2 linked regions of the Neurospora crassa OR74A genome follow. Each later gene encodes a partner of the first gene's protein in a complex. Links are inferred from orthologs where the notes say so. Each region holds a gene or a part of one and is shown in the gene's direction. Other genes may lie near its edges.

What was found.
Region 2: the proteins of NCU07724 (region 1) and NCU05313 are in contact, whole or in part, in a crystal structure (PDB 3UUX), measured with the Saccharomyces cerevisiae proteins. The link is inferred for Neurospora crassa OR74A from reciprocal best matches to the Saccharomyces cerevisiae genes MDV1 and FIS1. Residues at the interface, in NP_012423.1 of Saccharomyces cerevisiae: Asn95, Lys96, Phe99, Arg100, Leu102, Thr103, Tyr104, Ile105, Ser106, Asp108, Leu109, Asn111, Glu112, Ile113, Pro114, Glu145, Thr146, Ser147, Leu148, Phe149, Gln150, Gly151, Phe152, Lys153, Tyr155, Leu156, Ala159, Gln243, Ser246, Ser249; in NP_012199.3 of Saccharomyces cerevisiae: Val4, Asp5, Phe6, Pro8, Asp12, Glu15, Leu17, Gln21, Ile24, Leu25, Gln28, Ala37, Thr38, Ile39, Gln40, Ser41, Phe43, Asn44, Trp47, Lys51, Arg59, Val62, Lys63, Thr66, Tyr69, Lys70, Ala72, Glu73, Ser74, Arg75.

The regions. Positions count from the first base shown.
Region 1 is NC_026504.1:2,070,629-2,086,035, forward strand, and holds NCU07724 (mitochondrial division protein 1), read left to right. Parts: upstream 1-10,060; 5' UTR 10,061-10,428; coding exon 10,429-10,503; intron 10,504-10,643; coding exon 10,644-11,247; intron 11,248-11,299; coding exon 11,300-12,306; intron 12,307-12,375; coding exon 12,376-12,651; 3' UTR 12,652-12,963; downstream 12,964-15,407. Other genes in the region: sre (siderophore regulation protein), read left to right, coding at 3,009-3,364, 3,423-3,985, 4,051-4,895; NCU07727 (COPI-coated vesicle protein), read left to right, coding at 5,659-5,678, 5,839-5,910, 6,169-6,212, 6,281-6,364, 6,445-6,617; NCU07726 (bcp-1), read left to right, coding at 7,389-7,493, 7,605-8,381; NCU07725 (chorismate mutase), read right to left, coding at 8,526-9,264, 9,347-9,417; NCU07723 (norsolorinic acid reductase), read left to right, coding at 13,799-13,920, 14,002-14,072, 14,139-14,234, 14,328-14,473, 14,531-15,238. UniProt on the Saccharomyces cerevisiae protein: Involved in mitochondrial fission. Has a partially redundant function to CAF4 in acting as an adapter protein, binding to FIS1 on the mitochondrial outer membrane and recruiting the dynamin-like GTPase DNM1 to form mitochondrial fission complexes.
Region 2 is NC_026504.1:5,367,166-5,381,573, reverse strand, and holds NCU05313 (mitochondria fission 1 protein), read left to right. Parts: upstream 1-8,287; 5' UTR 8,288-8,569; coding exon 8,570-8,585; intron 8,586-8,665; coding exon 8,666-8,684; intron 8,685-8,753; coding exon 8,754-8,847; intron 8,848-8,919; coding exon 8,920-9,252; 3' UTR 9,253-9,878; downstream 9,879-14,408. Other genes in the region: NCU05308 (Zn(II)2Cys6 transcription factor), read right to left, coding at 1-754; NCU05309 (Cut9 interacting protein Scn1), read right to left, coding at 2,917-4,245; NCU05311 (hypothetical protein), read left to right, coding at 5,710-6,702; NCU05312 (hypothetical protein), read right to left, coding at 7,292-7,756, 7,903-7,929; NCU05314 (hypothetical protein), read left to right, coding at 11,173-11,325, 11,377-11,822, 11,922-13,047. UniProt on the Saccharomyces cerevisiae protein: Has a role in mitochondrial fission. Has a role in outer membrane fission but not matrix separation. Required for targeting MDV1 to the mitochondria.

The DNA.
Region 1 (15,407 bases):
GGACCTTTGTTTCTGGACTGGTTACCTAGTCAAAGAAGACAGAGTCATGACAGGGCGTCGAGCCTTTGTTAGTGTTCAAGTACACTACGTACACTAGTTATGTAGCTGCTGATCAACATCCATCAGATCTGGCCGAGCCACGCAGGGTAGAAAATCCGCACGTGGATTTAAAGTGGTGTCTTTCTCCGTCAAATGTCAACGAAAAGCTTACGGTATCCGGATATGGAACGTTCGAAAACAATCCACAGGGAGAGTGGAGTTCGGAGATGATACCCTGTGGATCAACAGATAAACTGATCCGTGTTGCGGGAATTGATAAAAATGCTTGGCATGTAATGCGGCTGTACACTACAGGTTTGATGGATCGATGGGGTGATTGGGGGTCCACAGAAGTCCCCCCATCATGGAATGATCTTCCTTTTCCTTCTTTTGATTTTTCTTTTCGGGACTCTGGGGCTATCGCTATCAGATCATCGGCTGCCGGGGGTGGATGAGGTGATCGGTGTGCACTAGTGTACAGTGGGCTACTAAAAAGAGCTAAAGTATCGGTCAGAGCTTATGATCAACCACTTGGTCCGGGTCCGGTTGGTGATTGCTGGGCTGGTTGCTCAGGGGGTGGGTAAAAATAGACTTCTCTTTTCTTTAGACTACATAGAACTAGACTTGGGTTGTAAGGATATCTGAGGTTGGGTGAATGAGCGTGTGAGGAATGGTTGCAAGGTTGACTGAAAGCTGTAAGTGCCTAGTGACAAATGCTAACCCCAGTGAGCTTGGAAGGAAGATCAAACGTTTCGCAGCCCGAGTAGATGAGTGATGACGAACCCGTGACCCGGAGAGAAAACTCCTTGCGATCGCAGGAACAAACGGCACTGCTGTTTACAAAATATTGCCTAACCACCTTAAACTATCGTGGACTGTCGTGGAGTGTCCCGATCTTGGCAAGGTTGTAGTGTACGATGAGATGGATGGCGTCCTGGATGTACAAATATGCACGATAGGCCGATCAGAGGAGCGCCAAGGTTGTCTGATTGAGGCGATAAAGACAGGAATCTTTCCATTAATCCAACCGCCGAGCCCGACATTAATTAGTACGCAGAACCGCGACCGGCTGCATCGTACTGACTTCGCTTTCCCGATCCGTGGCATGAGTAAATGTCCGCGATAGAGCAGGCTCAAATGGAAAGATATGTTGTGTTTGACGTAGGCGATTGCGTAAGGACGTGTCCCATGACCTGCAAATGGCGTTCGGAAAATGGTTACTATAAATGTGGTGGTCCGTTTCTGGTAATTTCAAGTAAAGCGGACTACACTAGAGGTAACTCTTGAATGAAGTAACTCCTTACTAGTCTGAATGTACGCTAGAGGTAACTGGTTGGTTCAAAATATGTAATCCTGGCGGGCCAGATTTCCAGGTGACCTCTTCCAGACCACTTGAGGTCCGGGATGGATTTTCGGAAATGATGGTCGGTGTTTTTTTGGGTGCTGTCCCGGCGATGATATAGTGTAATGTACCTTCTACCATAGCAACCAAGACCATTTCCAAAACCATATTTTCAGGTCGTGAGACATGTCCTGCTGAGCCTGATGGGCTGGAAAGAAACACCAATGTAGAACTAGACTAGATAGTGTACATAGGTAAACGAGACTTGATGGCGGCGCATTGCGTCAAAATGTACACTTGCGTCTACAGAGTATGTAAAATTGGTCGGCTTACTGACCCGTCGGCACTGCGTTCCCGTACCCAATGCACGCATAAGGAACCCCGGTCATTCTCATCTAAGCCCTGTCTGCTGACATTGCGTGGTCCGTGATTGGACATATCTGGGTACCTTGTGGGTCACTTATTCCCTTGCAGCATCTGGCTCCCCAAGTCGAGGGGACCAGTGACACTGGACCTGAGAAAGGACCTTTTTCATCCTGTAGCCAGCCCAATTCCACGTCCCATGATCTCAAATCAGGTCTCCCAAACAAGTGGGAAAACGGGTTTGATTTTTGTTGTGCCAAATCCTCTCTATGTCGTACTGTAAAATCAAACCGCTTTGTTCTCTTGTGGCCCTCCTTCAGGCTAAGACACTGTCGAACCTTCCTCCCTTCCAGACGTGTTTGTCCTTGGCAACGACTACTTAGCAGACGAACCCCTGGGTGAAGCCCTCCTGCGTACGGTATCCAACCGTCTCTCAGCCCTTTGGTTCGCCAGGATTATCCGTAGATCAGATAACAGATCTGTGGAGCAGTGGAGTAGTAATCAGAAGCACAACAGAGACTCTTGAGGCAAAGGGGGGAAGGATATGCAGACATTCGTCTGTCCACTCACCTAGAAGACGCAAAAAGACAGAAAGACGACAGAAAACCTCAAGACCAGCCTTTGGCCCAGACCCGCCCTCTTTTTTGCTTTGCCTTTTCCGTCCACCAACCCTTCAGTTTTATCTGCTACCTCGGATCCCGACCGACTTCGCCATCCTCGTGCACTCTACCGGAGTACACAACCGTCCAGGTCTTGCCACCAACGCGAACCCGCTCGTACCACAACCTGGCGCCGTGTCCAAGCCTTTTCTTCCAGCATAACCAACTTCTGATTCAGCGGCACCCTGCTGCGGTCTGTAGTACTCGCTTCCTCTGGCCATTTGACCCCATCAATCGCCTGTTTCGGACACCCAACACGTGCTGTTCTCCTGGTACCGGCGCTCTGTATTGGCCCCGGATCCCGCCTGGTCCTTAGCGCACATTGCCCAGAAGTTGGGGTGGCTTACTTGCCATCCAAGTACAACTCCAACGATCGATCTCGGCATGTGTTTGACCGCCGACCTCGATACCGTTTCCGCCTCTTGACGATCACGGAGCGATATTGAAGCCAGCCTGCGCATCCCCAAGACTCCCGGCGCCGTACAACATCCACTTTGTTTTTCAACAGGCTTTCAAACACATTGTGTCCCTTCTCAAGACGGATAACTAGCCTTGAGCATACATATTGTTAGGTTGAGATCCATACGCAAACACATTGAGAAGGAATGGCATTGCCGGATGACACTCGCCTTATGAACAACCAAACTTCCATCGAAGGTAACTCGGCACCTGATCGTATGGCTCTTCCATCAAGGCCACCCCCACCGACCGCAAGTAACGAGCCCCCGGAGCACGAGTCAACCGGACCGGTTGACGAGGCGGCCTCCAAGTCCGAATCCGGGCTCTCGCCGAATTCAAAGAAAGCGGGGCATGCTGCGCAGAGTCCGTCTGGTCGCAAGAAGTCTCCAAAAATCCAAAATGCCCAACCAGCACAATCTCCAGCCGAAACCGTGGGGGTGGTGAACGTTGCAACGCTGGGACTTGTGCCTTCTGTTCAGGGTCATGCGGGTCAAGTCTGCAGGTATGAATGTCCCTTTCCTAATGACTGAATCTGTAGGCCAGCGCTAACGACTGAGTAGCAATTGTGGTACGACACATACTCCTCTTTGGCGAAGATCACCTCAAGGAGCCATCATTTGCAACGCTTGCGGACTGTACCTAAAGGCGCGTAACGCGGCTCGCCCCGCCAACATCAGGCGCCCTCCCAGCGTGATGGCGAGCAATGTTAGGCAGGCCGCGGCCAAATTGTCCCCCAAAAAAGCAACCGCACCGTTACTGCCAAGCAACCCGGGAGCAACGTATGTGGCCGCCGATCAGACGCCGTCAGGATCGTGCCCTGGAGGCGGAAGATGCAACGGCACAGGTGGTGCGGAGGGGTGTGGTGGTTGCCCCGCATACAACAACCGCGTTTCCAAGAGTGCGAGTCTCAACGTGCTAAAGTGTCAGGGCGCAGCAGCCGCGTCTTCCAAGAAACCTCAAGCAGCAGAGGGCAGCGGGGAAGAACCGACTGAGATGGACATCACCGCCTTACACGTACAATCGCAAAACACAACCGTTGTTATTGCTTGCCAAAACTGCGGTACTACCATTACTCCGCTCTGGCGAAGGGACGAAGCCGGTCATACCATTTGCAATGCGTGCGGTAAGTGCATGAACTTATGGCCTGAAAAGTTACAAATGGGATGGAATTTGCTAACTCGAGTAAAGGTCTCTATTACAAGTTGCACGGTGTGCATCGGCCAGTGACCATGAAAAAGGCAATAATCAAACGGAGAAAACGTGTGATTCCTGCCGCCGGAGGTGATGCCGAAATTGAGCCAAGTGAGGCTCCAGATTCACCACCCGCGACATCAGAACCTCCGATGGAGAAAGGTACGGTCAACGAAGATGGATCTGTTAATCTCGGCATCCGCCGACGTTCAGTGCGACCATTGACGCTCGTGCCTGAGGACGAATTGCGGCGAAACAGACAGGCATCCCCGCTGTCTTCAGCCGCCTTGGGACAGTACCACTCATCTCATACAAATCAACCACACCACGGGGCTCATGCATCTCTCACTTACGAGAATCGACTGGCTCCCATTCATTCACTGGCGCTCCCAGTTGATCGTCAAGCGTCCATTTCACCAGCATCATTTCTGTCCCCATCGAGAAAGCGGTCGATATCTGCTGTAGAGAACGAACCTTCGTCTCATAATGACAACGAAAGTCATAAGCGCCTGTCTTCCATCAAATCCATTCTCAACCCGATGCCGAGTTCTGAGATACACCGAGAGGTTTCGCCGGCAGACCAGTTACGGATGCAACCAGCCTCCCGGTCCCCAGCCATGAGCAGTCTGACTCCAGCACACAGTCCAGGGTCATTTTCAAACAGTACGGTTATTGGGACACCAACATCAGCTCCGATTTTGCGGAGCGCCTCGAGAGATACCCACAATGATAGCGAGCGGATGAAGGCAGAGCGAAGAGCAGCGTTGGAGCGCGAGGCCGAAATGATGAGAGAGTTGCTGGCCGCAAAGGAACGGGAGCTTGCCGAGTTGGGTTATGATTGACATGCGGAGGCTGAAAAAGCGGCATGCTGTGAATTCGGGGGAAACAACTGGAGTTATTCGGGAGAGCATACCCATGGAATTTGACTTGTGCATAGATAGATAGCAACGGAAGGCATAGTCTTTTTGAGGAAATCCCAATGACAGTTGGAGCCAGAGACCTTTAGTCATAGTATCCGCATAGTGGTTATGCGTCTATTCATCGATGCCGTCCAGTGGATTTGGTTTTGCATAGTAATAGCCGTCTCATGGCTGTAAACCCTAATTGCAACACCCTCGCTGCAATGGCGAAGTGTGATGCGGCAATGGAAGTTTCAAAGTTCCAGACGGAAAGCCCCTGCCCTGACATGCCGTAGGAGCCAGTGACAAGAGGCCGCGCACGCTTGCATCAGCGTCGTAGGGCGGAGCTCCCACGTTGCGCGCGTTTGGGGCCGGTTTAGTGGACAATGTACCCCGGCAGGGACCACCCGACCCTCCTGTTTGGTGCAGGTGAGGCTACCAGCTTCCTGACCTCGAGCTTCGATTGTTCCAGGCAACACTGTAGAATACACCATCCTCACAACATCTTTCGTTGCTCCGTCAAGAACCACCACCAAGTGGCCACATCTATCTCTACGCTCGCGCAAATTTCCGAGACTCATTTTGAATCGCTCTCTAGATTGCGTCGAACCCAGCAGATCGCACCTGTTCCTGCGACATTCTACCAACCTTTGCGACGTATTCGCACCTCCTCCACCACCACAGCCACTACTAAAACAACGCCATAATGGATCTCTCCGACTCTTTGTACGTTCACATCCGCCCGCTCGTGCGACTATGGAGAAAGAAAAGAAAGAAGGGGATGAGAGCGGAGAACAAGCAAGACCGCTGGCCCCCAATACTGCGTGCATCCAAGCATCCGTTCGAGGTTCAGAACTACTTGCTAACATGATGTCCTCCTCTCTAGTCGCTTTGTCAACCTCGCGGTTGCAGTGCTTATGATCCTGGGTGGTGTCTCCCAGTTCTTCCCTCTCGGAATGTACGTTTCCTCATTGTACGCCCGTTAGCAAGCCGACCGACTGTACAAAGTTATGCGCTTCCCTCCACGAGCGGATATTGTGGACGCAGCAATCTTGGGCGGTCGCCGAAATCGATCATGGTCCTGAAGCCTGGATGTCCCGGCTGCCAGTGCGCGCCCGCCTATGCTCACAAGGGTGTTACATGCTTTGTCCGGACTGTTGCGCAGGCTGATAGAAATCGTATGGAGATGTAAAACTGACCAAGTTACTGTCGACAGTCAACCAATTATCCTCGGGTGCTACACGATCCTGTTTGGTGTTGGTAGGTGGTCGCATACGTCGACAGAAACATTCAAATGGTTTCCGAAACGCTGACGCTGTTCTTCACAGCCACCGGTCTCCTGGAGTTCCAGATCCCTCACCAAGTCTACCGCTATGCGTCGTTCATGTTCTCGTTTCTTGGTCGTGGTGTTTGTACGTTATTGTTGCCCCACCCCCCCTCTGCTGCTATTGCTGAGTTATTGTGACTAATCGTCGGTCTACTCTTTGTACAGTTTACATCTTCGTCGGCTGCATCATTCCCCATGGACACTGGGCTACAATCATTATCGGCTCGATCATCTTCCTTGTCGGAGTCGCCTATGTCGCTCTCGAATTTGTGCCCTCTATTGAGCCCCCTCCAAACATGCGCGAGGTGGATGCGGGCTGGGGCGCTGAGCAGGTGTAGTTTGTGATACACGTCACTATTTGGGAAGTAATGCCCTGCCGAGAATTGGTTATGTAAGCATGAAAAGGGCTCTGTGGCCGCCGACAATGTCATGTCGACCCATACCAAGATGAGACGTTTGGGGTGTGAGAGTAGCGGGAGGATGGTCTGTTTGACAGCTACTCAGGAGCGCTGCTGGTGATCAACTGGTGTCAGAATGTTGAGGAATATGTTGCGCCAGCTGAATGCAGCACAAGTCAAGGGGTACGTAGTTACTTTCAGTAGATAACATCAAGGATGTGTAAGAAGATCAACGATTTAGCTTATACTTTAGTTTGAGGGCAGCAATGGTGCAGCCAAGTCAACATTTTGGATAGGACTGGCCTGCAGTCTTCTGGCATCCATAGACAAGCACTGTCCGTAAAGATGAAGTATCTTCCATTTATCGTTCGCGGTGGCAGTTTTCCACAATGGCAGATCATTAACTGGGTGAACGTGGTTGGAAATCCCCCCCTTTTTGGAGTTTGGGCAATTGTGGTTGTCCTAGCAACCATTTTGTTGTATCTAAAGCTGGAAGGGTTAGGGTATATGCAGGTAGGCGATAAGGTTCTTATCAATTTCAATCTTAAACAACTGCATTACAAAATTTTGAGCTTGACGGCCTGAATGACCTCAAAGTCAACCACATATCACCAAGTAAGGAGCCCTGTGAACACAATCATGTGTGGAATATGCGACTGACAAGTCGAATAAGGACCATTTTTATTGAGTCGTTCAAGTACCACATTCAAGATGGGCAAGAAAAGATCGAGAGAGGAAGCCCAGAAGGAGGTCGTCCAGAACGACCCCACAGTCGATAAGATGGATGAGGATAGTGACAGCTCAGACTCGGATGAGGTGAGTTACTTTCCCTTGGTGCACCAGGCTCGGTTGTTAAACCGACCACTTGCATCTTGGTCGAACCTCTCTTGGCCGGGAGTCGTAATACTAACATTGGTTGGAAACAAGGACATGGATATCATCAACGTCGACTTCGAGCTGTTCAATTACGACAAGGACATCGACTTCCACGGCGTCAAAACGCTTCTTCGTCAGCTCTTCGACGCTGACGCCCAGCTCTTCGACCTGTCCGGGCTCAGCGACATGATCATCGAGCAGAACACCATCGGCTCGACGTGTAAGGTGGACGACAAGGCCAACGACGCCTACGCCTTCCTGACCGTGCTCAACGCGTGGGAGCACCGCGAGAAGAAACCGGTCGCGCAGCTGATTGAGTACCTGTCCGACAAGGCCGTCAAGGCCGGTGATTCCAGCCTGTCTGTGCTGCCTGAGTTGTTCACCTCCGGCAAGGCCCAAGTGGGCATCGTCCTGTCGGAGCGCCTCATCAACATGCCGGCCGAAGTCATCCCGCCCATGTGGAACATGATGATCGAGGAGATCCAGGACGCCGTGGACGACAAAGAGCCATACGAGTTTACGCACTACCTGGTGGTGTCGCGCGCGTACGTCGAGGTCGAGTCGAGCTTGGACCAGGAGGAGCAGAAGCGCAAGCGGCTACGCGATGAGAAGGGCCTGCAGTACTTCCACCCTGAGGACGAAGAGATGCGCAAGCATGCTGTCGGTGCGGGCACCTACACTTTTACCAAGGAGGGAGACTCAGCCGACAGCAAGCGTGCGTTCCAAGAGCTGGGCGTCAAGTCACAGGGTTTCATGATGCTTATTGAGGCGGGCAGGTTCAAGCAGGCTGTCAAAGCTATCGGGGATTGCATTGGCGCGGCCAACTAATTTACCATAATGGATTGCGAGAATTATGAAGCACCGAGAAATGGGGGAACGTGAACGGGAAATTTCAACGCATCGTCAGTTCCTGCCTGCAGTGCTGTGGATTTTGTTGTTGTTTTAATTAGGTGCCGGTTACTTGCATCATGGCTATTGGGCGGGCGCCGGCTCCAGTCTCTGCATGAGATACTCAACCTCCACCACCTTGGTAAGAGGAATCACGAACTCCTCGTACATAGCGACGACGGCCTCGACGTTAATCTTGCGCTGGCTCTCCGCCTCGGAGGCGCCTATTGACGGGTCGGTACCGTAGGTTTCCGCCTTAAGCTTCAATCTCTCCAGCACCTTCTTCTCAACAGCCTGGTTGGTGATAGCCTCTCCAATGGCTTCGCGATCACCGGCCTGGATGTACTTTGTGAACTTTTCCGTCTCAGACTGGAACTTGGATTCGGCGACAAATTTGCCAAAGTGAATGCGCCGGGAGATGGCCTGCAGGCAGGCGATATCGCAGGTAGCAGAGGAACCGTAGTTCTCCTTGTTGACACCACGATCCTCACGGCCAAAGTCGGGGCACACGCTGGGAAGGAACTTTTGCGTATAGAACTCTTTGATCTGATCGTTCACATTGACGTTGTTGGGGTGGAGGATCTGGGGGTAGTCGATCGACTCGAGGATGGGCTTCTGCACGGCGTCGGGGAAGAAAGGGTATTCGTCGGGTGACTCGTAGCGACGCATGAGGGACTGGAGACGCTCCTGCTGCCACAAGTACCAGTCCATCAAGCTGAGGTCGGTGTCGGGGAGCGGGACGGCGCCAGGGATGTAAATGTTCTTATTGAGGGGGAATTGAACACGCTCGATCAAATGGAATATGATGGTGTCCTCTAGACGGCTGTTCGACACACGTATCAGTTGGCATAGGTTCCAGGATTGTCGAGGTGATCGTTCAGTGCTTGAGCTCTCTCTTGACTCACATTAGCTGGTAGCGAATGCGCGAAAGATCAAGCGCCTTGTCGACGTCAGACAGTTCGATGATAGCGTCCATCTTGAAAGCCGAGGTGTCGCGGTAGGTGCAATAACGGCTTGGAATAGAGATTTGGGTTATATGTGCAAGTAAGATATCAATTGACAAAGAAGACAAGAGGCAGTTGTTGTGTACAGTGAGCGTTGAGTCCCTCCTGAGGACCCTCAACCGGCAGAGTTGGGACCAAACAATCGCAACTTCGATATCGGACAACAATCAGATTCCCACGTTGCAACGGCCCTGTTAAAATTTAGGTTGTTCATTTGTACATTGGTACATATGACGCACCAATACTGCGGATCCGGTACCCCACTGGCCCTCCAGCGGCTTTCTTGGCAGACACCGGATCCCTGCTCTCGTTACACCCCCTTCTGAACGGAGGCCGAGCCTGAATTGGCGCGTCGCTTGCGTGCGGGGAACCAGGGCCAGGGGGGTGAGGGGAAGAAATGGGAATTGAGGGGGCGCGCTATCGGCTGGCCGGGAAATCCACCTCCCCGCCAACATGCTGCGACCAGCCTGCTGCCAGCCGCAGAGACCGACCACCGAGGGCCCAGTGTGTTTAGAGGGTACCTTTCAAACTATGTGTCCCAGAGACGTGTGGTGGTAGCTGTTAACAGACTAGCTAAAGTGATTCCTGCCACGGTGCTTCACCAGGTTCACACATCAAATTTGTGCCGCATCCACGCGCGCGAACTTGGAGCGAGGTACCTTACCTGATCAACCTCTACAACATCGGGCCATCCGCAGCTGCTGCAATTGATTCAGCCTGCCGTGGTTACATGTTGCTGCCGCGGACTCTGACATTGACAACATCGCTTCGGCATCGCTACCACTAGCCGCAGCTGCGCTCGATTCCCGGCCGTGCGATTTGGCAGCGATAGTAGCGCCCGCAGGATTTTTCTCGCGTCGTCGTCCAAGTGTCCTGCTTCTATTCGACCTCTTTGCGCTTTAGTAGTTCGTCGGGCGGCAACAACCTCTTGGGCATTTCTTTGAACCTTTTTCGATTGGGTAGCAGCCTCCCGGTGCCAACGGATGGCCAACTCCGATCAGAACCGTGATGTGTTCCCGGACGATGTGTCGATTGATGACGATACCTCCGTAATCTCTGTGAGCTCTCCTCACCTTCGTCTCCCGCACTCTGTTCACCACCATGATGACACCCTTCTGCCTCTCCTGAGTCCTTTCCGCATTGCGCTTGGCGCAGCCCAAGAACCACAAACTAATGCAAGATGGGTGAACTGCAACAGACTCGGGGTCTCGAGGCCTTCGGTCGCAAAGTGACGACAACAGCAAGTCACTTGATCGGCCCCATCACCGACCCGACCTCTCATCCTCACTACCAGACCGCCATGACCGAGATACACAAGCAGCTCCAGAAGCCCACGCTTCAACGGGGCGTCTTCGCTATAGCGCGTACGACGCCCACCGATTTAGTGCGCTCCAAGCTGTCGTCAAAGGAAATTCAATCTCGAGCACTGGCCTACGTGCCCGATGAGCTTCTCAGAAACATCCCTGCCAGCTCCAACTCATACTCGTTATTCCAGGGCTTTCAGGCCAGTTTTCCCGACTTTACCGATGATGGAAAGAAGCACAAGCGACGGGTGTCTCGGGGGAGGAAGATGCTCGATGAGAGCCCTGTGCAACCAGGAAGCCCGCACGCGGTACAGAGGTTAAAAAAAGATAAGGCGTCAATGATGCACCAACTTGAAATGCTTGGTGTTCGGAAAAATATGGCTAGCAGCGAGATCCGTGAGATTGATAACAAAATCGCCAATCTGCACGGCATGCGCAAGATCATCCTCGACAGGCTCGCTAATCTTGAAAAAGAGGAGGCAGTATTAGAGCATGACAGTAAGTGTTTATGCGCTTAATCTTGGGACCTCCTACTAACCGCAACTGGCAGTCATGGATGTTGAGAGCAGGCTAGACGAAGCTCAAGAACTTGCTGATGAGGCGGAATCGTTGGCGATGGCGACACCGAACAAGTCTGAGGAGGATCTATCAAGAACTGAAGAAGGATTCATGTCGCAATCCATCTACGAGAAATTACCAGCAGCCAACACTCCTCCTGGAAAAAAGAAGCCTCGCAACCATCGCAAGAAGACACTCCCGATTCTCCACGAACATTTCGAGCCAGGCACGATGATTCGCTCGATGCGCGCGCACCAGGATAACATCACGGCTCTCGACTTCGATGCTCCCTTTGGTCTCATGGTTTCGGCTGCAATGGATGACTCGGTTCGTGTGTGGGACTTGAACGCCGGGCGCTGCATCGGTACTCTTGAAGGTCACACGGCATCTGTACGCACTCTTCAAATTGAAGATAACTTCTTGGCTACTGGCTCTATGGATGCGACAATCAAGCTGTGGGACCTGAGCAAGGCCCACTACGACCCTCAGGGTAGCCAGGAGGTTGATGAGGAGGACGAGGACCTTGCGTTTGTCAACCCGAACGATCACGCAGTCGATCCGCCTGCCGGAAGCATGGCTGATTGCCCTCTTTTCACTCTCGAGGCCCATCTCGACGAGATTACGGCCTTGCATTTCAGGGGAGATGTGCTCGTTTCTGGCTCCGCCGATAAGACGCTTCGTCAGTGGGATCTTACAAAGGGTCGTTGCGTGCAGACATTGGACGTGATGTGGGCCGCCGCCCAAGCCACCGCAATGGGCAGCAGTGACGGTCCCTGGAGACAGACCAGCCGCTCTGCCGACGGATCCGCAGACTTCGTTGGTGCCCTGCAGGTCTTCGAGTCTGCTCTGGCTTGCGGTACTGCTGACGGTATGGTTAGACTCTGGGATCTTAGAAGTGGACAGGTGCACCGTAGCCTGGTTGGACATACCGGCCCGGTTACTTGCCTCCAGTTTGATGATGTTCATCTCGTCACTGGCAGCTTGGACAGAAGCATTCGTGTAAGCAACTTCCTCATTCTGCCATAACACTACGAAACCGAGTGGCACTGACACTGCTCCTTATCACAGATTTGGGATCTTCGCACTGGATCAATCTTCGACGCTTACGCATATGATCACCCTATCACCAGCATGATGTTTGACACCCGCCGGATTGTTTGTGCTGCTGGTGAGGATGTGGTTAAGGTGTACGATAAGGTTGAGGGACGGCATTGGGACTGTGGCGCCGGCATCACTGAGGCTGAGAAGGCCAAGTCCCCTGCAATCGTCGAACGCGTGCGCATCAGGGACGGCTACATGGTCGAAGGCCGTCAAGACGGTGTCGTCGGCGTCTGGACATGCTAAAGGCGACATGGTCCGCCGGGGGGGGGGGGTTGCATTGCTTGTACAAATACGACATCATACGACACGACTTACACTGGATTGGAGAAAAAGGGGCGGCCACGTATATTGGTGTTCATGAGTTTATGAAGAGGACTCGTCTAGCGACAAAATGAAGTCATTGTTAGGGTTGGCTGGATACCTTGGGTCTGTACGAGTGTAGGTTCGCAATGGAACTATACAGCAGTTACATGTATCTCTCATCTGTGCAAAACTGAGCCCCTGGCGACAGTTGAGTGATGTATCGCCAACAGAGCCAACCTAAAGCATTGACCCCATTGAAAGAATAGGTGAACGCGCCTGGACGCAAGTGGGGATCATCTCGAATGCGGAAGTCATGAAATCATCGGAGCAGTGTCCGAAGAGGGGTAAAGGTGCTTCTGGTCTACCCTGGCCTCGCCCTTGCTTCCGGTCGTTGAACTCCCTCCACGGAGACAAGCTTATCTCCAGCCGGACTTATAAATCAATGATCTCTGTAGAAAGTGATGGCACAAGATCGAGATTGCGAAAGTTATCCTCTGGTCGTTCGGGGAGTTTGCAAACCCGTCCGCTCCCCACGATCGTCCATGGTCCACCTTAGATTGAACCCCACTTGCCGTACACGGACTCTGAGATCTGGGATCGAAACCATCACCTCCGTCTGCTCGGGTGCCCGAATATCCCCAGTTTTCTTGCGTGCCTGGCATCCCACTGTGGAAGAGCGTAAACTAGAGACCCCCGCTTCAGCTTGCCATTGCCCCCAAGCCGATCCCACCTGTACACTTTGAGGTTGCTCTAGGGGTACTCGTCAGGCCCGCCTCCGTGATCTCTGCCTTATCTCCGCTTGTTAACTTATACAGAAGGAAAGAGGGAACGACCCTCCTGTGTGCCTCCCGTTGTTTAGCAAAGTGATATCCTTGTTTCTTTTTGCGAATCATGGATCTGGGCTGTACGTAGTCTCCAGCCGATCTAACCTCGGCCGTCGTACTGGCATATAATTTAAGCTTCCTTCCGTTCCCTGTCCCTTCTCTTATGAACTTCCCGTGTGTATTGATCATCTCTCGTCATTCATCCTAGTCTTCCTTTTCATCCCATCCCACCTTTCGATATAATCTCCTAACTTTGACTCAAAATGGCCCTCCCTATGGCGCCTCCCCCCAAGGGGCCCCTCGGCCGCTATCGTTTGCTGTCCCCTACTGCATCCGTCCGTGTCAGTCCGCTTTGTCTGGGGTCGATGAACTTTGGCGATTCGTGGTAGGTTGTACACATCGGACTTGTGCTGCTAACCGTTCGTGATATTGTTTGATTACTGACCTGCGGAACCTTACTTCATAGGCAAGATTATATGGGAGAGTGCAATCAAGAGACTACGGAGAGCATTTTGGACTTTTACTATGAGAACGGAGGTATGATGGGAAACTCCTATGGATTATTCCGCTAAAGCTGACTCGGTGATGTTGGGTGATGTGTAGGTAACTTCATTGATACTGCCAACAACTACCAGAAGGAGGAATCTGAGAAATGGATTGGGGAGTGGATGAAGAAACGGGGAATCCGAGATCAACTTGGTAAGCTACTACTTTGCGAACCTCTTTGAAGCCTTTTAAGCACACGTCAGACCCCTAGATTCCGCGTGAAGCAGACATTAATCGTCATCCCAGTCATCGCAACCAAATATACCACCAACTTCAGAGCTGGCCATGGTGAAACAGAGATCATGGCCAATTTCGGAGGCAACGGCACCAAGAGTATGCGTGTCTCAGTTGAGGCCAGTTTGAAGAAGCTCCAGACGGATTATATCGATCTCGTACGTTCTCTGCCCTCACACATCACACATAAACATGCTAATATGACCATTGTACAGCTCTACGTTCACTGGTGGGACTTTGCCACCTCCATCCCCGAGCTGATGCAGTCCCTGAACCAGCTCGTCACCAGCGGCAAGGTTCTCTACTTGGGTGTTAGCGACACCCCGGCTTGGGTAGTCAGCAAGGCCAACCAATACGCGCGCGATCACGCACTTCGGCAGTTCTGCATTTACCAAGGCCGGTGGTCCGCCGCCTCGCGCGACTTTGAGCGGGACATCATTCCCATGTGCCGGGACGAAGGCATGGGGCTCGCGCCCTGGGGGGCCCTCGGGGGCGGCAGCTTCAAATCGGAGGAGCAGCGCCAGCAGCAAGCCAACGAAGGCCGCAAGATCAAGGCGACCGAGGAGCAGATCAAAATCAGCCGGGCTCTGGAGAAGATTGCGCAGCGTAAGAACACAGCCATCACCTCCGTCGCCCTGGCGTACGTGATGCACAAGGCTCCGTACGTGTTCCCGATTGTTGGCGGCCGGTCGGTCGAGCACCTGAAGGGTAACATTGAGGCGCTCACGCTGGCGTTGTCGGACAAGGATATCGACGAGATTGAGAGCGCGGTTCCGTTCGATATTGGGTTTCCTAGCTCATTCTTGTATGGAGAGAAGGTTCCTGCGCACCCCAGTCAGGTTTGGTTGATGGGTATGGCGGGCACATATGATTATGTCCCGGTGCCGAAGCCTATCGTGCCAGCGGCGGAAAATGGTCAGTAGAGCCGACATCGCCGCCAGAGGTCTTTGAAGGTTAGGTGGGAGCAGAAGCTAAAGTATTAGTACGTTTCAATGTGATTCAAGTTGGGCTTTATTCGATTGTGACGTGTGTCAAACTGCTTTTGCGGAGGGTGTCATAATCAACATATGGGTTGCAAAAAAACTGATAAGC
Region 2 (14,408 bases), about 3.3 Mb from region 1:
TAGCACTGCTATCTCCTTCGACGCTCTCACTCGGGCCACTGCCACTCCACCTGGGAGTGGTGCCGCCAAGCCCGGACAAGGGTCCATTGTGGTGGTGACCGTTGGAGGAGTAGTCCCCGTTGACGCCTTGTAGATCATCGGTGGATTCGCGCTTAACGCCAGCAACGTTGGTGCTGCTGCTGTTGCTGCTGCTGTACCCCGCCGCTCCCGCTCTTGTTAACCGGGGGCCATATGGGTTTTGTGTGGATGATGATGACGACGCACCACCACCGTGTCCGGGACCGGATGCGGGTCCCGCGGCGGCTGTAACACTACTTGTGTTGGACAAGGAGCGGGAGTGGGAGTGGGAGTGGGAATGGGAGTGGTGACTGTGGTGGTGGCCCCCTTGGTGGTGGTGGTGGTAGTGCGAATGGTGGTACGCATCGGCCGAACTCGGCGAGGCGACATAGACGGTGGAAGAAGCGGCCGAGCTCGGGGTGAGGACCATGGGGCCCGGCCCCGCATGAGAATGGGTCAGACTCACCCCGGGCCCGGGCCGGGATCTGGTATCCACCGGACCCGGCAAATGTCTTGGCTGTGCGGAGGGAGCGGATACCGATGCAGGTGCAGGTGCAAATGCGGCGGCAGCGGTGACGGGCTCCGCTGACGAGAGCGGATGCGGATGCGGATTCATCGAGCCACGACGACTGCTGCTGCCGAAACGTCGCTGCTGCTGACTGCTGTCACCACCGACAGGATACCCAGACATCCACATGCGCACCGAACTGCGTCAGGTCGCAGCTGGGGTAGCCCCGGGAGCCGACGAGCGAGCGAGCGAGCGGACGGTTGGGAAATGCGCGAGCGACTGGGTGTGTGGTGTGTGAATGGGTCCGCTGCCTGTATCGCGGAACGTGGTGCAAATCACCGACGCCCCCGGCACGTGGGTGTGTTTGTGCTTGCTTTCTGCAGCTTTCTCACTTTTTTTTTTTTTTTTTTTTTTTTTTTTTTCCCCGTCGGCCGGCCAGCCAACCTGTTGTGTTGTAGTAGTAGTAGGTTCGGGAATAACGCAAAACCTTTTTTTTTTCTTCAAAGGAAATGGTTTGCTGTGATTGATTGATTGATTGATTGATTGATGGCGGCAGATGAGGCAGCAGCGGAAAATGCAGCAGCCCAAAGAGAGGATGGATGCAGATAGGTGAGGTGGGAATAAGACTGAGGGTGCCGGGAGACTGGTTCGCCTGAATGGTTCGACTGGTTCGACTGGTGTAGTGACAAGTATGTCTAGTGTATGATAGAGCGGTTCCTTTGCCAAGATCGAAAAGCTGCTGCGAGGGGGACCGACCGACCGTTGAGTGGACGTCACTACTGCCTGGCTGGGGAACCCAGTGCGGTTGACACCAAAAACCGAAATGCCAAGCGACTGGGGGAACTTGTGTGACGATATAAACCTGCGAAGCGATGGAAATAATCCAGGGAAATAAAGACGGGAATGAAGAGAAAAGCAGAAGAAAGTGGAAAAGCCAAGCAAAGTGGGCGGTGTTGGACAAAGTGGAGGGGGAAAATGACTCGACTAAAAATCCTTCCCGATTTCCCCGTCCTTTATGTTTTGGCTCTTCAAAAAGCTTGTTCACAGCCTCACTGTGGTCCAAGTGGAGGAATCAGGTCCAGAACCACAGTCGAAATGAGGGGAAAAGGGAGGTACCCGGCCGGGCTGCGGTAGTTCGTTGCGGATAGCTGAGAACACAGGGAACATGGAGTGATGTGAATGCGGTGGCTGACAAAGACTGAATGGACACATCCAAACGGCGGCGACTGGGAGATATAAGTCGGTCCCGGACCGGCACTCTCGGTGGGTTCAGTTTCTCGCTTCACTGCAAACCTAATCACCCCTGTGGTTATCGACGCCTCTTCATCGCTGTTGGTAAGAATTGCAAAGACTATTTCTAGCTTGATCACAACTCCGTCAAGAGCGAATCGCAACAACTCCTGTGTGTTGGAAACTGTCGAGTAGAGTCTCTCAGCACCTCCCGGATGAGCAACACTCCGGCACCTACCTAGTCTTTTCACTCCTAACCTTGCCAAGTTCAACATCATTCAGTGTCTCTCTCCTCCTTAAATAGTTTACCTACACCTCAAAGATAACAGTGGTTGATGTTTCGACCGTTGTCCCAGCGGAGATCGGCACCCTGAGACAATCATCCGTCCAGAACGTTTGATAGGCGCTAAATCTACACCGAAAGTGCAGTGTCTCACAGACAGGCGTGCCATGCAATCCACTTCCATATCCCAGGCCTGCCGGCTTGAAACAGTGACAACTCGTTGTTTCTTGGTGTTGGTGCCTGGTTGTTATGAGGAAGAACTTTGAAGAAGCCCGTAAAGAAACCCCAGTGGCAGACACTGACTGCACTGCCAGACACACCGGTCCCGCCTCGGAGATAGCTGAGCTGACAAAAGCCAACAAAAATGCGTGACATGAGAGGGGATGCTTGCGAACGCGAACGTCTCAGTTCCGGTTCGGGAAGGAAAAAGCGAAGATCTCATTTAGTGTTACACTGTTCAATACTCGTCGAGTTGGGCAGAATGCGTAGTCTGGTAGTCTAGTGTGTAGTGAAGTCCCGCTAACGCACGTTCCAGGGTAAGAGCGCAAGAAATGTTAGTGCCGTTGATCAACAGGCACCAAAGGGCTACCCCAGAAGGCACCCTTGAGGTTTCATCAGTTGGACCCTCAGCTGGACCGGGGGGGCAATTGACTGATGCCGGCGGTGGCTTTCAAGGGGAGGGAAAAAAAAAAAAAAAAAAAAAAAAAAAAAAAAAAGACCCCAGCGGCTGAGAGAAAGAGGTTGTCTCGCTTCCAAAGATGCTCCCATGTCTACCAAGTAAAACTCCATCTAGGTTCCAAGTCTATAGTCTACAGTCTTCTAGAGACTCAACACTCACTCAACCAAACAAAAACTCTTCATAATTCCTCCTTATCCTCTGCATCCCCTCCTCCAACCCCCACCCCTTTATCTCACATATCCTCCTCGCAATATCCTCCAAATACCCATCCATATCCTCGCCCGCCACATGCAAATCGCTCTCCACCAGCACCTGCCCATCCGGACACGCCCGAATCACATCCGCAAACTTGGCCTCTCCGCCCGCCGTCCCCAGATTAATCACCATGGAAAACGAAAAGTAGCACTTGACCGGGATCTTGGGATCCAAATACTGCTTCAACACCTGCGGCGGCCCGCTGAAGGAATGTAGACACGCCCTCGGCGGGAACGGTTTCGGTTTCGGTTTGTACGGCTTCTTCTTGGGCTTCATGATTTTGTGTAGTTGCTTGGGCTCCCCCACAAGCCCAAATTCCGAGTAATCGGATTCCTCCTCCTCATCACTAGACGAGGAGGAAAAATCCTCCGACACGCCCTTGGCAATCATCTTTTGCTTCTTCCGCGACACCACCTCCTTCTCATGTCCCTTCCACAGCGACGCCAAGGCATCGAATAACACGCCGTGAGCCTGCACGCCGTGTAGAGAGACGGGACGACCCAGCTCGCCTGCCAGGCGAAGTTGGGCTTTGAGAACGTCGACCTGGTGCGCCATCTTGACGTGGTAAGGACTGAGCATCCGTCCTTCTCGACCGCCCGGTGTTAGGTCGCCGTCGTTGCGCGAGGACGAGGACGACTCATTCACTTTGCCCCACGGGAGACGAAACGCTTTGTCAAGGCCGATTTCGCCGACCAGGGCTGTGGGGTGGGCGAGCAGGCGTTGGCGGGTTTCTTGGAGAAACTTGCTGAGAGGAATGGGATCGGGGAGAGAAGCGATGAAATCGGCATCGGGAGGGGGCGATAGAACGGTAGAGTAGTGCTTAGTTTTTCTATTGTGTGCCTGTACATCCGTGACCTCTTCTCCTTCTTCTTCTTCTTCTTCGTCTTTGGAGTCATCGTAGAGCTGGTGAGAGAACCAAGGGTGCCAGCCGAACGCTGGGACGACCTTCTTGGGGGTTTCGGATGAACTGCTTTCGCGCAGCTCGTTCAAGTCTGTGATGCCGTGCTGCTCGGCTACGGAGGCGACGAGGTCTTGGTCTTGACCGCGTGTGGCCATGATGGTGAGAAGTCGAGCTTGCATGTTGTTTATGCTGGAGATGGAAGCCATGGTGTCGGTGGGATGACAGTGGGCGTCGTAGACACCAACGTGCCATGGGAAGGGCTCTTTGGGAGCTTCATCATCGTCTCTTTTGGGAACTTCATGAGGTATTGATTCGCCGGTGGAGGGACACATGGTTGCTGTGCCCTGAGATGATATGGAGAGTGCCGTAGTGGCGATTATTGACACTGTGGGAGAATTAATGGCAGTAGAGTTGGGATGATGTTGAAACACAGTTGATATTTATGTTCGATATATTCATGTGGAAAATCGCGGATGCAAAAGTCAACTCCACGGCCCGCTTCACCCATTCTGCCATCCTGTCAGCCTTCAGGAACGCCTCCTCCAACGGATGATGTCAGTTGGAGATGCATGTGGGGAAGCTATTCCCTGTCCACAGAGTATCATCCTTGCCCTCCCAACACAGCCTCAACTTGACGGTACAATTGAAAATGCCCAGTCTTGGCACACGTGTGGTCTGGCTAAGGGAAACTCACCCTTTGAGTTTGAATAGGTAGAAATATAGTGTAGACTACCAGTACTATATAGCGGAGGCTCATGCGTAGATAACAAGCACTCGCAACATGGGAAAAAAATGTCTGTGAATCCTGGCTGCAAGGGCCACTCGAACCGGCATTTTTATCAACGTCGATTGAAGGCTGTCGAGGACTTTTTCCCCGTCCAACCTTATCTTTGGACTTGGTGTCATGTTGACTTCATTGATGGTTGAACTTCGGCTCAGCTTTGACACCCATGCCGATGGGCTGATAAGACGAAGCGATGGGACGATCGCGGGGCTTCCTCAGTCCGGATGTACGTCGGTTAAGTGACACAAAGGGACCGGTGAACATGTACATATGCAACTTGTGGCCGTCAAGCAGGAATCTCGATCATCTCATGGAACGACAAGTGGAAAGAGGGGGCATCGTTCTTGGTGGTGTCCAGATTCTTGCAAGAGCGGATCGAAAACGTAAGGGAATGGCTGCCAAGACCTCATTATTCCGGGGCACGTCAACCGCTGGAGGTGTTCACGGCCCGCTAAGAACAGCCCCTTGTGATGATCTGGTTGCTCATTCGGCGCCTGCCGAAGTGTCAAAGCGGGCGTAGTGGACCCTGAAACTGCTTCCCCAGCTTTTAAGCTCCGACCGATCCCTGTTTCCAAACGGCTCAAGTCCCCCCTGCTTTTTCCCGGTTCACTCTCCGTTTCCCCGTCTTGCGCACTTCAAGCCCGTTACACTTTACATCCGTCATGGCCCTCGGAGCCTAGACAAAATCTCCCCCAAATAACAAACTCTTATCAAGTCGTAAACTCAAACTGTACTAGTTCAGTGCCACAACCTCGGGTCAGGGAACAAGATAACCAAGGGAACTGTGCTCCAAGCGCACGCACGGCATGTTGGTCTCAGCGGCAGATATGCCCCTCGCCTGCAAGAAAATCCAATAAGCTGCATACCTTATACAGCTTCATAGACCCCCTCCCACCTCACTCTCCAACTCGCCGTCAAAACGCAAACCAGAAAACCGAGGCCTTCACTCCAGGGTTTCGACATCCTCAACATCATCTGTTGCCACAGACCGCAAACACCCCGCACAGACACCATGGCCTTCCTCAACCCCGTCCATGGACTCGTTGTCCCCTTCCTCTGCCTCTTCACCATTCCCATGGCCATCTTCGCGAGTATCACCTCCGCCCTCGCCTTCTCTTTGCTCATGTTCCGCGTAGCCATCGTCTACGTCGACATAGCCATGGCATTCGTCCCCCAGTTCATCAAAGGCCGTCACTACCATAGCGTCACTGACGGCGAACTTCTTACTCCACGCCGTCTATCCTCTAGTAGCACAGGCAGCGTCGGAAACAGAGCCGCCGGGGATAGTGAGGACAACTCGCCCTTAGCCGTCGTCTCTCCCTCCCCTTACTACTACAACGGTTACGACTCCCACCAACGGAGTCCTCTCCGCCGCAAGAGCAGCTACGGCTTTGGCACCGTTCGTCGCTCTCGCCGCTCTAGTCAAGCATCCATCTCGCCTACCATCGCTTCCATCCGGGAAGACGCCGAGATGGTTCCCCCTCTGCCCGAGACCGGCGGGCTGGCTCCCTCGGTCGGCATCCAGCGAGACTTTGAAGGAGTAGGCGGGTGGCGACTGAACGACAGCAATGACGACGACGACGCCTGGCAGAACATCAACTCACGGCTGGAACTGCCGATGGAAAGGTGCTCCAGCTTTGTGGGTCGGTACCACCACAGTCTGAGCCATCGATCGCATAGTGCTGGGCCGTCGCAATCGTTGGAGGCGGGTTGGATGGGGGGAAGTACTAATGGTAGAAAGGGGACTTTGAGAAGTGGAAATGGCACAGCTGGATCGGGACATTGTGCCGAGGCGCAAACGAATAATTGGCATGGTACGGGCGCCAGGGCGAATAAGAGCGCTTTTGGAAGCATATCGAAGATGGCGCTGCCGCCGGGGGATAGGAGGAACAATCACCGTAATGGAAACGGGGTGTCGCCGATGGGTATGGGGATGTGGGAGAAGGAGCAAGAGTACTTTGCGGGTTTCACTTCTCAGAAAGGGAAGTGGAGGCCTACGGCGTGAATAATTGTCATGTTATGTTTGTCTAATTTTGCTGATCTGGACAATGTTCGTATACGTAACCAGGGCCCCTTTTTTTTTTTTTTTTTTTTTTTTTTTTTTTTTTTTTTTTTTTTTTTCGTTAAACAGATACAGACACTGTTATGACAAGTTACAAGGATAGAACACGTCTGGGTATTAGCGAAAAGCGATAATAAAGCAAAACATACTTCAATATGATCACGCTAAGAAATCCGACTTGTTTTGAAACAACAAAATAATGACATGGTATTATTCCCACCCAAACTCCTCCAGACGCCGATCCCATCCATCCATGCATCATATCCCTTTCGCAAGCGTCCGTAACCTCATCCTAGCCCAACCTTCCCATCATACCCCATCCCCAGCCATCTCACATTACCCCCAAGCAACCGCCCCTACAACGTCTGCCAAAAATAATTGGCATAAAAGAACCTCGAAAACCGATGCCGGTCCACATTAACCACGCACACATCCCCCCGCCTATCATTCCGCACCACCGCCCTCGTAAACTCCCCTCCATCCTGCTCCTCCCTCTCAATCTCGATTCCCAAGCTCCTATACACCTTCAACCTCACAACAACACCTCATCCTCCACGCTCCTGACCTGGCCCCCATTCCCGGCACTGCCGTTCCCATTATTTTCTCCCGTCGATGTGGCACCACCAGCAGCAGAAGCATCACCACCATCAACCCCCTGCAACTCCAACTCCTGCAACCGCGCCTGTAGTTCCGCCAATTGCGTCTGTAGTCGCTCCGTCTCCATTTCTAGATCTGAAACATTTTTCGCCACGCGGAACTTTTGCGTGTCGAGACGGGAAATCAACGAGGCGTGCTCGGCGGAACTGTGCGAGGACGTGACTTCTTGGTGCTGGGACTGTAAGGTGTTGAGGGTGCGCGCGAGTTTCTTGAGGTTGGTTTCGGATTCGCGCAGGCGGAGGTCGCGCGCTTGTTGTAGCGTGGAAAGTGATTCGGCGACGCGCGAGACGGCGTGGCGGTCGGGCGTGATGTTGAAGTTTTGGGTCGTGTGGGCGATTAGCTTGAAGGGAGGGAGGGGGTTAGTGGGTGGTTGATAGAGAGAAAGAAAGAGGGAGGGGTGGGTAAGGGGGATGGGAAGAGAGGGAGATGAAGAGGGGGAGGTTCTTTGGTAGGTTGGAGTGATGTAGAATGAACGGGGAAGCTTACGGTGGAGGGGTCTTCTTCGAGAAGCATTTTGGCAGGTTTAGTTTGACTTGAGGTTGGTGTTCTGTTTTAATTCGGGTATATGTAAATATTTGCTTCTGCGATCGAGTTGAATTTATGAGTTCCGTGACGGTAAAAGTGTGCTCGTTTAGTTTCTGTTGTTGTAGAAAAGTGTTTGTTCGCGAACGAACTCGAGGTCGCGAATGGTTTGTTGTTGTGTCGCAATTGTCGAGTCCCAAACCAAACAACAGCGGGACCCATTCATCCTGGGCGACGACGGGACCTAGCGGGACAGGAGCCGCAACAGGACCTGAAGTGGGACATTCCCTTATCTTATCGCAGATTTACATGGGGACGGGACCTCGGGCTATCACCGGTCAAGGATCGGGCATGCTGCAGTGGGTTTCCCCAGTGTCGTTCGTCATCGGTGGCACATTAAACAGAGCTCCAGCCACGCGATAAAACTACTGGCGGCACTCTCAGCTATCATTAACCTGGTAATTCCAGAACCTTGCTGTCCACCTCCGTCTCACACCACCACTACCTACCTTACCTACAAACCCGAGATACCAGAGTCGCCCGCTGCCGCACAATTCACGACCATATACCTACTTCTATTCAGGATACCAGTTTTCTTGTTCCTTCAACTAAATACACCCAGCTTGTCAAAATGACACAACTTCCCTGTAGGTGCTGGTCAGCTCATGGGACTCGTTTTCATTGTTCTTCCAAGCTTGGCACAGGTAGCTAACATCCGTGGTTACAGATGCAGTGGATGCGGAAACGTGAGTCCCCGAGTTGCACAATCGCCCCAGGATCGCCGAGTCATCTAACCAACGACGATAACGATGCAGTCCGCTCAACCCCGCCGAGCTCAATGTTCTCCGGGCGCAATATGAGAAGGAGGGAGAGATGGTTGGCGTCCAGACCAAGTTCAACTACGCATGGGTACGAACCAACACCCATGATTCCCGTTGAAAAGAAATATAAACTAAATAACTTCTTTACGAAATGCTACAGGGCCTAGTAAAGTCCAACGTACGAGCCGACCAACACCTCGGTGTCATGCTGCTATCAGAAATCTTCCGAACATCGCCCGAGCGCCGCCGCGAATGCCTATACTACCTCGCCCTCGGCAACTACAAGCTCGGTAACTACGCGCAAGCGAGGAAATACAACGACGCCCTCCTAGAAAACGAGCCGGCAAACCTCCAGGCCGCCAACCTCCGAGCCCTGATTGACGACAAGGTGACCAAGGAGGGCTTGATGGGAGTGGCCATCATTAGTGGTGTGGCGGTTGCCGCCGGTGTCATAGGAGGCGTTTTGCTCAGGAACTTGGGCCGCAAGAGGTAGTGGGTAGGAGGGTGAGCCGGTCGCCTGATGGATGATGACATATGGCACAAGGTGAAAGGGCAGAAAAGGCCGCTCCTTGATGACGATATGGGACAACAGGGTCCGGTGTGTATATTATGGGCTATGATTTGACGAGCTGAATCCTCTTTTCCTTCTTTAAAGTCCCGATAACTGGATTACAGACATTCCTTTCTATAAGACATGGGTTATTTGGTTCACATCCCCCACTTCCCCCAACTACCTATCTTAGATTGTTGTTGGCTTGTTAGACTCCATCTCTGGAGATGCTCTTTCTTGAATCGAACTCGGCTCACGCCCTAAATTCGCTTTATTTGACGGCGTGGACTTTGGTTACTGCATCTAGAAGCGATCCCAGAGATTGGATGCTCGAAGACGTCGCGGGTGTTAGTTCTTGGCGCTAGCCTTGAAGAACTGCCAGGTGTGACAACAGTCAACGCAGAGGTGCTCCTCTTTGAAGGCTTAGACCCCGTGACGGTGTTACTGTACCTCTCGCTTTGTTTATGTTGGAAAGCCTTGGTATCACATTGTCATTCCAAAAACCATATTGTAGCGTTAGAGGTATCAATCGTGTTACTAAACGATATATCAATACATACACCCAATACCGTACCCTACCATTGTTGCTCCTCAAAGATGTGTGCCTTGCCGTGCCTTGCCCCGGTCATAGCCCACTTTCGTGCATGCGGGACCATTTGTCTCAGGGTCAGGCTGCAGCTCGACGCCGACACATTGGCTCACTTCTCCTGTTAACGACCTGCGACATGCTTAATCGGGTCCCTTGGGCTTTCCATGCTGCACCTAATGAAGCCCAGGGCAGACTTCATTTCTTCCCCTCATCAGGCCGTTAAGAAATGCAGTATCAATGTGACATGAAACATTGCCCATATTCTACCTTGAACCCCATCCGATTCATGATTCACGGGTCGTGGATGAGTATGGAAAAGGACTACCTACTTGCAACATTGTAATACATCCAGTATGTCTCAGCATCAACATTGGACAGATACATCAGTGAACTATATAAAGGGACAAAAAAGAGTGAGGGCCATATTGACCCGTGGCGAGTATAAGAAGGGAAAAGAACAATTAGGTAATTACCAGGATCCATTATACATCCTGGTCTCAAATTACCGTACGCAGAGGTAACGCTGTGACGCATGCCCGGCCTGCGCCGACTTTCCGAGGCCTAACCAAATACAGCGGTTACAGCGATACCCAGGGTCCAATGGGATGGCTGTCATCCCTCTTTTATTGCTCGGTCGGATCTTACCTCAGCGCAAGGCAGGGAGGCAGGTACAGACACCACCTACATCGATCTAGCAAACGGCTGAACCTTCTCCAACAAACCGACCTTGTGCCATCATCCATTCCATTCCTTTTCTCCTAACAATAGAACCCTCGCCACAAAAGAGCCGACAGCCTCGAACGACGGAAGATTCCCCTTGACAACGCGCAAGATCCGATACCTGTCCATTAAAGTTGTGCCGCGCGACTGCTCCATCCCGTTGATGCCGTCGCCGCTGCGAATCCTTGAATGTAGGACGCCAACGCTGTAGATCACAGCAGCTGCATCAAGAACATCGACTCCATCATAGTGGGGCAGCCACTTCACTTCACTTCACTCAAACAACCTACATCACCTAGTACTTCAAGTGCCAGACCTCCACCTACAATTAGTATCCTCGCCATATTACGCGCGGGCTTCTTGAATTCCGAAGCCAACTGTATAATCCTTGGAGATCTCCTCTCCGTCATTCGAAACACTCGCCGACCCCGATATCAAACATCAAACTGGCCCTGCGAGGAGCGCTCCAAACCATCGGCCTCACCGTCCAGTTAGGGCTCGCCGCCTTTGCTGCTTACAACGCAACCCAAAGGCTGCTGGGCCGACCGACGGCGATGGCCTCTCCCGGATTTCCCCCGAGGCATCTCGATGCGACAACGGGTAGAGAAGTCGTCTACTGCTATGGCTGCGAAAACGAGTGGTATCGTGACGATTACCCCCATCTGGACCTAGAATGCCCCAGGTGTCACAATGATTTCGTCCAGATTGTGGGTTCTCCCATCTACCGTCCAGCTATCGCCACGCTAACCTTTGTACAGGTCGAACCTGACAACGATCCCCGACCAGGTGTTCAACAACAAGGTCACCGTTCAGACTCGGACCCGGAGGAAGATGACATAGAGCAGTTCCTCGAGCGTGGCCCCGGGTCCTTCTTCATGCGACGATCGGTGTACCAATCGCCAGATAGTCCCTTCAACCGTTCAAGTGGGAACGGTCTTGAGGATCTTGATAGCAGTCCGGACCGGCCGCGTGCCCGCCCAGATGATCCTGGCGAGGCCGTGTTGTCGCGGTTCGCCGACATGTTTGTCGAGTTAAGCGGCGCGAGGCCGGGACAGCAAGGGGGAAACGCCTTTGGGACACAGCCGCGGATACAACGTACAACCTTCACCAGAGCAGGAGACGGCATGGCTAGCTTTACCTTCACGACCACGACAACTGCAGGAGGCCCAGCGGGAGACGGGCCGGAAGCGCCCGCTTTTGACACGTATGTTCGCTCGCGACATGGCAATGGTTTCCCTGGAATTCGCAGACACACAATCATTGTTGTGACTAATAGGAGGGCTAACTCGAACGGTGATGGCAGTCTGTTTAGGGGTCTCTTTGGCAACATCCCGCCGCCGGGCGCAGAAGACCCCGGTGGCGGCCAGGGCCAGGGCCAAGGCGGTGGTCCACGAGGGCCTCCTCTTGGATTTGCCACTGGCCTGCAGGACTTTATCGCGACATTGCTGAACCCACAGGCGGCAGTCCATGGCGATGCCGTGTATACCCAGGAGGCACTCGACCGCATTATAACGACCCTCATGGAAGCTAACCCGCAGTCCAATGCGGCTCCTCCAGCAACGCAAGCCGCTATTGAGAAATTACCCAAAAAGATCCTCGACGAGCAGATGGTCGGCCCCGAGGGTAAAGCCGAATGTACCATTTGCATCGACGACATGTACAAGGGAGAAGAGGTCACGGTGCTACCGTGTAAGCATTGGTTCCACGGGGAATGCGTCACTTTATGGCTTAAGGAGCACAACACGTGCCCTATTTGCCGAATGCCGATCGAGGGCAACAACCCATCCGGGAGCAACAGTAACAACAACAATAACAATAACAGCCAACCGTCCGCATCACGCCAAGAAGCCAGCACCAACTCTGCATCAGCCTTCGCGTCCTCATCCGCACCAGGAAGAAACCCCTTTGAATCACTTAACCCCTTTGGATCACAAGCCCAATCGGCCAGAGAGCGACTTCGACGCAGCGAGCAGGAGAGAGAAGAGCGCCTCGAGCGGATCCGTAACGTGGCTGGTATTAGGCGTACCGACTCTCAATCCGAGGGAATCTCCCGCCGAACTTCACACTCGCCTCCCAGCCGTGAGAACTCACGTTTCGACATGCGATCGCGCGATAGGGACCCGTCGCCACCAAGGGATAGGGGCACCTCGACGGCCTGGCAGCCGAATCCGAGCAGCAATTCTCAGAGCAACATTAGCAGCAGGTACAGCGGTGGATTGAACAACTTGTGGGGACGCAATAACGGTAACAACGGGGAGGGAAATTCACGGGATCGAGACGGACAGCAACAGCAAAACCAACAGCAGCAGCAGCAGCAGCAGAGTTCGAGTTCTGGTAATGGCGCGCTAGGGTGGCTTAGGGACCACTTCGGCCGTGGTTCTTCCGGTTCTGGCTCCGGGGCGGATCGGGATAGGGAGCGCAGACGCTGAGCCTGGTCGGAGCGGTCATGGCATGTTGAATTGCGGGTGGCTCGATTGTACAGTTGTGTATTACAGGATCGGCTCAAATACACATACATACAACGAAGGCAAAGGGAACAGACACATGGATCGTTGGTTCATCATGATTGGGCTTTCAGGCTTTTGGTGAATAAACCAAATATGGTTCTCAAGGCCACTAGACAGATCAATGAGACTGGGAAGTTAACTGGATCGAACGGATAAGAAGAGGTTGCGTTGCAGAGCAAGAATTGCACATAAAGTGCAAAATGACGTTCCAGGGCTTGTATAATATATTTGTCGTTCTTTTTTTTTTTGCTGGTGCTCGTTATCTGCTTGTTTGGTCGCTGCTTTCCAGCCTTGCTTGCGATGATTTTGTCTTTTTTCCCACATAGCCGGACATTGACACTTTCTGGTATCACTTTGACCCAAAGAAAAGGATTGTATGACTTATATTCTTAGGCAAACCATCTTTTATCCTGCCGTGCATATTTCGTTACGTAGAAATTATCTTCCCTGAACTTCCTCCACTTCGTCAATACTTCAAGAACATTTATACAAAAATGCCACTGGGAGATACAACAAATAATCTATAGATGATCGATCATACCTGTAGAACAAACGAAACCCCACCCAGTCTTCACATTATAATTGCTCACCTTACCTTCAACCTTACATTCAACTTTTAACGTTCAATAACTTGTCAGAAACAAAAGTGATGCTGTCATCTTTTAGTAGTGTGCCCCCTCACCTCACCTTTTTCAAACCGAATGAAACCCCTCCCCCAGACCGAGCTAAGCTAAGCGAGCTAAGCGACGCCCCCCGTCGTTCGTAAGCTTCCCACTTTTTTTTTTTCTTTTCCCTTTCTTCTTTTCGGCTCGGTTCCGTGTAAGCTGATTGGTTGGTTGCGTTACTTAGGTTCAGCCCAGCCGGCGGCCTCTCGGTGAACTAATGGAGACTGGGTATGTAAACTAAACGGCTGCCTGGTGATCATGAGGGGGTTCAGTTGGTAGGTAGGGATATTGTGTTATTCTTCTGAGTACTGTAGTAGTTTAATCTAAGGGCAGTATGTTAAGAAAACCGTGTTGTCTTGTCTGGAGAGGGGCAGGCGGGCCATCTGTCCTTTTTTATCTTTACCTGAACTCGGTAGTCTTCGTTTAAGTTTGAGTCAGAGAGGTCAGGCAACCTTTTGTTTGTTGGGCCAGCAGGACTTTGAGGATTTCCACTTTCCACCAGGTGACGACGACGCTGGACTGCCCTGGACTTGACTTGACTTGACTACGTAGGCCAACAATACCCGACGATATACGATACACGATACTGGAGAACTTGCCCCTGGAGACGGACGGTGC